Drosophila melanogaster: one gene and its partner. The protein of the gene in region 1 binds, or shares a complex with, the protein of each later gene. Each region holds a gene or a part of one and is shown in the gene's direction. Other genes may lie near its edges. The genes, in order: pont and pho.

Region 1 (4,446 bases):
TCGCTAATAACGCAACACGCACCTAAAATTAAAATAATGTGGATTCCTGGCCATTCAGGAATAAAAGGAAATGAATTAGCCGATCAAGCTGCAAAATCAGCAAGCAGTATGCCACTTATCCTCACCCCAAACATAAATACCACAGATATAAAAAAACACCTTAAAGCCGACCTTGCGACAAAACAGAAAGAACACATAATAAACTGCAGTCCATGGTACCAATCTATTAACACGAACACCTCACACCCATGCGATTACCTTAAACAATCCCACCCAAATTGGACCAGACTCGACCAAATAAAAATAATACGACTTCGACTAGGACACACAAACATAACCCACCAACACTACCTAAATCCCAATTCAATACCAACTTGCCCGTTTTGCCAAGGTGATATTTCTTTAAACCACATATTTAACTCATGCCCATCCCTCCTACAAACCAAACAAGATATATTTAACAACACCAACCCTCTAGACCTTCTTAGCAAACCCAATCCAGATAACATACAAAAACTCATACTTTTCCTCAAAAAAACTAAATTATACCACAAAATCTAAAAACAAAACAGGCATTTGTACATAACAAGCCAGCAATTAGTTACCAAATTAGATATTAACTAAATTAAGATATAATAACATTGTAAATAAATATAGCTGTAAGCCCCGTAGCTAATGCTATACTATCTAAGTTAGTCTAGTTTTGTAAACTATTCTATCTATCATAATAAATAATAAATAAAATAAACATACTTTTTATATTGTCTGTGAAAGGTATTTACATTGCTTGTGGGTATTGTCCACTCCATTGGCTTGGACTGCTTTGTAGGATCGGAAGCCTCCGAATATTCGGGTATCTCAACACCCAATAGTTTACAAACTTTGGACAAAACCACATCCACATAACTGGATATGATTAAGTTAGCCTTTTTGTCATGTTTTGTGGGCTGCAGATTACAAATGACAAATTTTCCACCGCATTTTAGATTCTTTAAAGGAAGGTCTCCGCTGGGAACGATCTGCAAAGTGGTTCCAAGCGCAATATTTAGGTCAGCGACGGTGGAGTGCATCACACCCATTTCGAGGTCGTTTTCGGGAAGATCGTGCTCCCAGTCCAGAACGTTATCGTATAGGATTCCCGATCTACAGCTACGACCTTTGCTATCCATTGAAGACTTGCAGGCACGTTGCAGGGATTTTTGACCCACTGTTTCCACGGCAGATGGGCTCACAAATTGCCGTCTGCATTTCTTACACTGTTCGATGTAAATGTTGCCGTGCAATTCGGAAAGATACTTCCGATCCAGTCCGGATTTCAAGTGGAGACCATCAATATTCTGTGAGATTACGTACTGCACATAGCCACTTTCAATCAGGGCTATGATAGCCATGTGGGTTTTAGTTGGTCTGGCTTCATCGAAGGAAACATTGAAGTCCGGCTTCTCGCCCTTCTCCTCCAGGGTCCAAACGCCCTTGGGTCCGCGGAAATCCGGAATTCCTGCAGACGTACTGATCCCAGCTCCCGTGTGGAGGACAACGTGTCCCGATTTCTTGATCAATTCAGCCAATTCCTGGCACTTTTCGGCCACAACCTCATCGCTGTCGAAACTCTCTGGTGCTCCCAAAATTCCCTTGTTGTCGTAGGCTGACAATCCATCCGCGTAGTTGCAGCTCATGGTTTGATAAAAGTTTGATCTACTTCAAAAGCGACTATTATGTCTTTTTGGTATTAATTTGTTTATATTTTGTACGGCTAAATGAGTCCATCGAGATTTTATTGTTTATAATATGACCGTATCCGTAACGCTACAAAATACTTTAAAACGTGCCAAGTGAAATTACACTGGTCATTAAAAAAAAGTATAAGGTGTAATATAATTTGCAGCTTGGTAAAAACTAAATAAATCTCAAATATCTTAGCTTACCTTGATTAAATATAAATGTAAAGTATTAACTCAAAATATTTGTTATTATATTTAAAACATTTATTATAAATTATTTTATTTTCTACCATGTGGTTCAGTGTACCAAGCAACATGCTTGGATTTCCAACTCGCACGGTCACACTGTAAACAACGGCTGCGGAAACAAAGTGTGCTTCTAATTTCCAATCAAAACGCCGGCAGAAAAACAAATTTTATCCACGGCAACGAAACAATAGTTTGTTTGATCGTTGCAACGCTTGACTTCACATTTCCTCTCCCTCGGGCGAAAAACAGCTGAAACCGGAAACGGATCAGAGTATTAGCATCAGGCAGGACACGGATTTAGAGGCGCCATGAAGATCGAGGAAGTCAAGAGCACCGTGCGCACCCAACGCATCGCAGCCCACAGCCATGTGAAGGGATTGGGCCTGGACGAGGTTGGAGCTGCCGTGCACAGTGCAGCCGGACTGGTGGGTCAGAAGGCGGCACGCGAGGCAGCCGGCATTGTGGTGGACCTCATCAAATCGAAAAAGATGGCCGGACGAGCGCTTCTGCTGGCTGGGCCACCAGGCACGGGCAAAACCGCCATTGCTCTGGCCATTGCCCAGGAGCTGGGTAACAAAGTGCCCTTCTGTCCCATGGTCGGATCGGAGGTATTCAGCAATGAGATCAAGAAGACCGAGGTGCTAATGGAGAATTTCCGGCGCTCCATTGGTCTGCGCATTCGTGAGACCAAAGAGGTGTACGAGGGCGAGGTTACGGAACTCACGCCCGTGGAAACCGAGAATCCTATGGGTGGCTATGGCAAGACTATCAGCAATGTCGTCATCGGCTTGAAAACAGCCAAGGGAACCAAGCAGCTCAAGCTGGATCCCAGCATCTTTGATGCCTTGCAAAAGGAAAAGGTGGAGGTGGGCGATGTCATCTACATAGAGGCCAACAGTGGTGCCGTAAAGCGTCAGGGTCGCAGTGACACCTTTGCCACTGAGTTTGATCTCGAAACCGAGGAGTATGTGCCGCTGCCCAAGGGCGATGTCCACAAGAAGAAGGAGGTTATCCAGGATGTTACTCTGCACGATCTGGATGTGGCCAATGCTCGTCCACAGGGCGGCCAGGATGTGCTCTCCATGATGGGCCAGCTTATGAAGCCGAAGAAAACTGAAATCACTGGTTAGTTGTGTAATTTTCTTCCCATTCAAATTTACTAAAATACCATTTGATGAGCAGACAAACTACGCATGGAGATCAACAAGGTGGTAAACAAGTACATTGACCAGGGCATAGCCGAGCTGGTTCCCGGAGTTCTCTTCATCGATGAAATTCACATGCTTGATTTGGAGACCTTCACCTACCTACACAAGTCCCTGGAATCTCCCATTGCACCAATTGTGATTTTTGCCACCAATCGTGGACGCTGTGTTATTCGGTTAGAAATACTTAGCTCGTAAAACCTATTCGCATTATTAATAAGAGTTACCTCTTTCCAGTGGCACCACCGACATAGTTTCGCCGCACGGAATTCCGCTAGATCTGCTCGATCGTTTGCTGATCATCCGCACACTACTCTACTCCACTGCCGACATGGAGCAGATAATCAAGTTGCGCGCCCAGACCGAGGGACTGCAGCTGGAGGAGAACGCATTTACACGTCTCAGCGAGATTGGAACCAGCTCCACGCTGCGCTACGCCGTCCAGCTGCTGACCCCGGCTCATCAGATGTGCAAGGTGAACGGACGCAACCAGATCAGCAAGGATGATATCGAGGATGTGCACTCGCTCTTCCTTGACGCCAAGCGCTCCTCGAAGCATTTGTCCGAAAAGAACAATAAGTTTATGTTGTAAGTTTGACGATTCAAGCTGAATTGTAATTCCATTTGCACGGATTTCCCAGTAAAAATCAAATAATAAGCAATTTAATTTATTGTAATGATGTGGTAATTTGAAAACATTCAAATGATCATTTCAATGGCGCTTCAAACATCGACAAGAAAAGTGTGTACACACTTCAACTGAAAGTAAATCGGAAATTTTTGGTTGGTGTCTTAGCTAGATTAGGGCGAATCGTGAATTTCTTTCAACGGTTTTTTTAATTGATACGTAGATAAGCATATTTAAACGAACTCGGAGGACTAACCATTTTCTTTTTATAATTCGGTTGTTTGATTGTAATTATTTTGTCTTTCGTTTTCCGCTTAATCTTCCATATTTGCTGCTTGTGATCGCAGCGATATGGCAACTTCCACTCGCGCCACCCTCATTTTCCCACCATGCGACATCAGCTGCTCGCGTTGTTTGGCCAAGAATTCCAATTGGTGGTGAGTTCAGTTACTCAACGAGCGTCGAGCTGCGCACTGCCCCAAAATAAATAGCCAGGGAGCTCCGCTGAAGTGCATGCAGTGAATAGTATATTTAACGATTCGATTCGCGGCGTGGGCGTCTTCTTCTTTTTCGGCCCGTTCCCCTCGCGTCTTGCATCTTGCCTCTCGCTCGCTCCAACAACGCCGGCAACTGCACTTGGCGT
Region 2 (5,145 bases), on another chromosome or scaffold:
AAAAAGATCAATATCCCAAGCGGGCAATCTCGCACCGGAAATAATATAAACAAATGGGCAATATGTGACATATTCACATAATCAGCACTTTCAGAAGAAATACAGAGTGGCGATTCCACGCCATGTACGCTAGCTGTATACAATAAATATCTTAAGCGGGCGATCCCGCTCCAGAAATAATGTAAACATAGGCAGTATAAGAAAGATTTTTGTCACTAACATATAGTCTTAAGCTGAGATCAAAAGAATAAAGACGTGAAAACCATCTCTATGATAATTTTTTATTTCTTAGCGTTGACCTTAGTCAACTGAAATTAGTTAGACTCAAATATATAACAATTATTTTACTGTATGCATGTATGCATATAGTAATGCATATTAGTTTACTTTTCCATGAAAATGCATTAATTATATATGTAATTGTATTTGTTGTATAGAAGCAATTACTGGACCACCGGCGGATGAAAAGGTGGACGACAATACGCAGCCTCTTTATTGAAGCAATATTAAAAAAGAAAATAATAAATTTAATAGATGAATTCTTTTTTGTTTTTATTTAAAACGTCGATGTTTTTTCAACATATTTCGCCAAAAACATCGATGTCCGCCATCATCGATATTTCTCAATCTCTATTAACAGAGTCAAATCAAAGACATTAGAATAACATGATTGGTAACGACCATACGTTGGTTTAGCACAATGCAGTCACTTTTTTGGTGACGGTCAATATTGACATTCTCTGGTAATCGAATTCGTAAGAATTTTACTTTTGTCTGGGCGAAATTAAAAGTAAATGCCTGTTATACATACATATATCTATCAAATCAGATCTTATTAACTAAGGAAAAAATATTTTATTCAGTGGTCTATCGATGTTAATTCCAAATCACCACAAGATCATTCTGCCAATGCGTTATTATACAAAAAATGTATTTCCGACCCCACCTCAGATTTGACAAACAACATTTTGCCGTCAGCAACAAATATTTTCGATTTAGCAAGGGGATTAGCAAAGGAGAAGTACGTTCCCAATATTTATTGCGAAGGCTGCCATACTGTTGGTAAAACGAAACAGGCAGGTAAAAATACTTATAAAATATAAAAGAATTCATTAATGAATTTCAGGAATGGCCAAAAGAGTTGTATGTATTTAATTAAATGTATTTTTATTACTTAAATGTCAAAGTGCAATAACAAAGTAATTGCGAACGTCGGACTTAAAACTGTAAAAAAAGGTGTCCGCTCTATGGTCTGGAAAACAGCTTGAACAGCTGTTTAATGTTTACAAAACATTCCGATAGCAAAAATTTTGCGAAAACCAAAACAGCTAAAAACGAAATCAAAAGATTTTGCCCAAATCGAAATAAAAAATAAAAATTACAGGAGCATGATTGACTATAAATTATCGCTGTGCATGCTTGGCATCTCTTACATCAGCACAAAACACAAGGATTGGCAGAATTGGCGCTTTTTCAAATCTACAGCAGAACACAAGATCAGTAGAGATGTTGAACCATCGGTGCCTGATCCCACGCAGTAGAAACTTTCCCCTTTCGTTTAACAGTTGCCTCTTTTAAATCTGTTCCAGTCTCATGTTAAGCTTTGTTAACGATGGGAAATTGGTTATAGCATGATTGCACTCGTTTTCCGAAATGAGGATGATTCCATTTCCACATTTTCGAAATGTATTTGTGGACCGTATCATATGAACTTTATTTATCACTAAAACTAATAGAAAAATATACACATTCTTTGATAGGATTTTCTTTAAGCATATGAAAAATTTAATTCATATCGGTTTACAAATTTGTAGTATTATTTAATTTTATGTTTTGCATGTATATTTCAAGCTATACCGATATAATTACAGAGATTACAGCCAGCTTGTTCTATATTTAGAAGCTAGTCGACGTGGAATCAAGATATATTTTGCGTTGTAAAAAAATACTAAAGTTTAGTATGTTGCAAAAAACCCAAATATTTAGGCATCGAATACCCATGCCAAACAAGCAGAATAACCTTTTCAATATTTTGAGTCATTTGGTATCGCGTTTTATAAAAATTACTTGAATTCTTTTGTTTTCCTCGGCTTTTAGTGAAACAATTCGACTATCATTAAATTTATGTGGCGTTTAATTAATCTTTCGTATTATTTCAATCAGAATTTTTTTAACATATTCACTACATTTTCTTAGAGAACCGTTTGTCATATTTAATGTATATTATGTTCCCTACTTAAATATGACAATTATTAATTCTGTGTGTGTACGTATCAATCATCCGTGATATTATATTCATGTCTTATATTGCCTACATATGGAATAATGGCAGTAAAAATGCTGTTCTTTCAGATACATCAAATAGCCTCAGGGAATGCAACGCTCAGGAAACATACAAATCTTACCTAACACATGTGCCTACAATTATCCTGGCATTTGAAATGCTTTAATACTAACTTTAAACTCATGCGTATGTGGATTATAGTATTGTAAATATGGCATACGAACGTTTTGGAATTATTCTTCAAAGTGAACAGTACGATGAAGATATAGGCAACACAAAAGTCAATCAGAAAATGAATGAAGGTAAGTTCGGATTTTACAGGCATGTCTATGTTTTGAAAATCGAATTATAGCAACAAAGCACTTTTTTATAAAGCGTAACAACAAAATACTGTTTAATGAAGCATAAAATATAAACATATTTACTTGTTATACCCGTTAGTCCTAGAGTAAAAGGGTATACTAGATTCGTTGAAAAGTATGTAGAAGGAATCGACCACAGTATTCTTACTCATGATCACTAGCGCCAAGTCGATCTGCCCGTATAAACGTTGAGATCTCGGGAACTAAATAAAAGATGTGAAAGTTAAGATAAAGCATGCACATTCTAGAGAAAATTACCACTTCTACTCCAACGCCCACAAACCTTCAAAAACTGTCAAAACTAAAATTTTAATATTGTTTAAGCCGCCATACTAACATTTTTAAGCCAAGCCCAGATCGTTAATGTCAGCTTTTAAGCGCCTTGGCATCGAAGAAATGAAGTATCATCAGATTGTTCAGTAATATGTTAGGTTAAGGTTTTTCCAAAGGAGGCAAGACTCGGAAGACTATCACTCAAAACACAGTGTTGACGGGTGTGAGGCTAATCCTCATCTCTCGTGAGTTACCTGTAATGGCGGAGACGCCGGGTACCCATGTAAGCGTTAGTTTGGGTGTGCTGTAGACGTTCAAGTTCAATAATGGTGTTGCTCACAGGCACGCTCTTGCTAGTGTTCGCTTGAAATGTTAATATGCCGCATGACTGTCCACAATCAAAGCTGTTATTCTGATTCCCATCTGACTCACATCGTTCTTTAATTGCTAAACTGCAGAGTCCTTATACCCTTGTGAGCGTTAGTTTAGTGTGCCGTAGATCTCCCAGTTCCATGATGGTGTTGCGCACAAGACCCGTTACCTTTTCGCTTTTGGCTTAAAGATTTAAAGAATATTATATGGATATGTACGGATTTGCGGATATCCTAATGTGCTTTTGAAGACATAGAATTTTAATTTAAAGTATTTTTAATTAGCTGCGCAAATAATTTTGTATAGAGAATATAGTAGCTAATTTGGTTGAAAATTTATCACGCTATATAAGTATTCTTAAACTCGCAAAGTAAAAGGGGTTTCGAAAAACAATGGCAACCGAAGGAAGCGTTCCCGACCCTATAAAGTATATATATTTTTGATCCAGTGAACTACCCAAGTCGAACTGGATATGTCTGGCAGTATGAATGTCGAGATCTCAGGAACTAAATAAGCTAGAAAGTTGAGATTAAGCATGCAGATTTCAGAGACAAATCCGCTCAAGACTGCTATTTGATTATTTTTCTCCACTAGTTGCGTAATGGGTATCTGATAGTCGGAGAACTCGAACATTTTCTCTCCTTTGTTCATAGATTTAAATATCAACATGCTGTGCATGCTTGCTTACACTGATATAATCGCCTTTACCCGAAATTGTCTGCCTGTACTTGTTCAATATTTATAAAGTATTAATTACGTTATAAAGTATATACATTATATACACTTTTTGTCCGTTTCTAGGTAAACTAGTTTCCAAATTTGAAAGAATTATTTCTTTAGAGGATCAATATACAGCTGAATTCATTGAAATATTTTCCCTGATCCCTCCCTCTCTTTCGTGAGCGACTTTTATTTTACTTTTGTAGAATGGACATTTACTTTTTTATGGTGTTTATTAGAATAGAGTTGTCTGATGTTGTTTAACGAAATAAAAATTAAAAAGTGAATTTGATTAAGTTGATTTGCATATTTAAAAGGACAATGCAATAAATAAAATTTTAAAGAGCCCAGAAACGAGGAAATAAATAAAACAACAAAGTATAAGTGTAATATTAGTAAGATCTAATTATGTGTTAAAAAAGTTATAATTGATTGCTGTAAGAGCGGCAGAGAGTAAAGATTACAGATAATAGGATTACGTCTATTATAGTCAGAACATAACATGAACATACAGAATGATTTAAGATTAAGGGTATGTAGTTTCTAGTGAATATACTTGGAACAGAGAAGTTTCGCCGAAAAACCAGGTCGGGACTACTCGTATCGTACTACTCGTAAACTTACTAATAAAGACTGTTCCAAGCATCGTTCTACGGTTAGCTAGGGAGGGTAACTGAATTAGAATTAGTCTACTGGAATGAGGAATAGGACCCACAAGGCAAACATTAAGAATTTTTTTTGGACCCATTCAATGATGCCCAGTCTCTGCCTAGCCTTCGTTGCATACGGACGATCGCGATAGTCTAGTCTGTTTGTTGTAACACATCAACAACTCTTCCAATCGTACTGTGCACGCGCACAATTTCTATTTCTATCCAATGCACAGCAGTGGTGACAGACAATTACGTTACTTATCATAGATAAGCTCAACCAAGCCGACGCTTTGTAAGCCCCTCAATTGTTATCTCTCGAGCTTGCGAAGTTGACAACTAGTAGTAACACCAATGTTACCAACACCATAACCACCCAAGCTAGCTGTTCGCAGGCAAGAAGTGCTGCAATGTCTGAGATGCCATATTTTTGGGCGTTCCAAAAACTATTGTCTCCGGGGTTCAATCTGTGGCAAGCGTGCTG

Evidence for each region.
Region 2: pont (region 1) and pho share a complex: the UniProt entries of both Drosophila melanogaster proteins name them as parts of the chromatin remodeling Ino80 complex.

Annotation. Positions count from the first base shown.
Region 1 is NT_033777.3:10,260,065-10,264,510, forward strand, and holds pont (pontin), read left to right. Parts: upstream 1-2,058; 5' UTR 2,059-2,278; coding exon 2,279-3,095; intron 3,096-3,152; coding exon 3,153-3,351; intron 3,352-3,412; coding exon 3,413-3,767; 3' UTR 3,768-3,835; downstream 3,836-4,446. UniProt on the Drosophila melanogaster protein: Acts as a transcriptional coactivator in Wg signaling caused by altered arm signaling. Pont and rept interfere antagonistically with nuclear arm signaling function, and are required to enhance or reduce arm activity, respectively.
Region 2 is NC_004353.4:1,178,489-1,183,633, reverse strand, and holds the start of pho (pleiohomeotic), read left to right. Parts: upstream 1-2,005; 5' UTR 2,006-2,044; exon of another isoform or gene 2,045-2,266; intron 2,267-2,352; 5' UTR 2,353-2,495; coding exon 2,496-2,586; intron 2,587-5,145. UniProt on the Drosophila melanogaster protein: Polycomb group (PcG) protein that binds to the 5'-CNGCCATNNNNG-3' sequence found in the regulatory regions of many genes.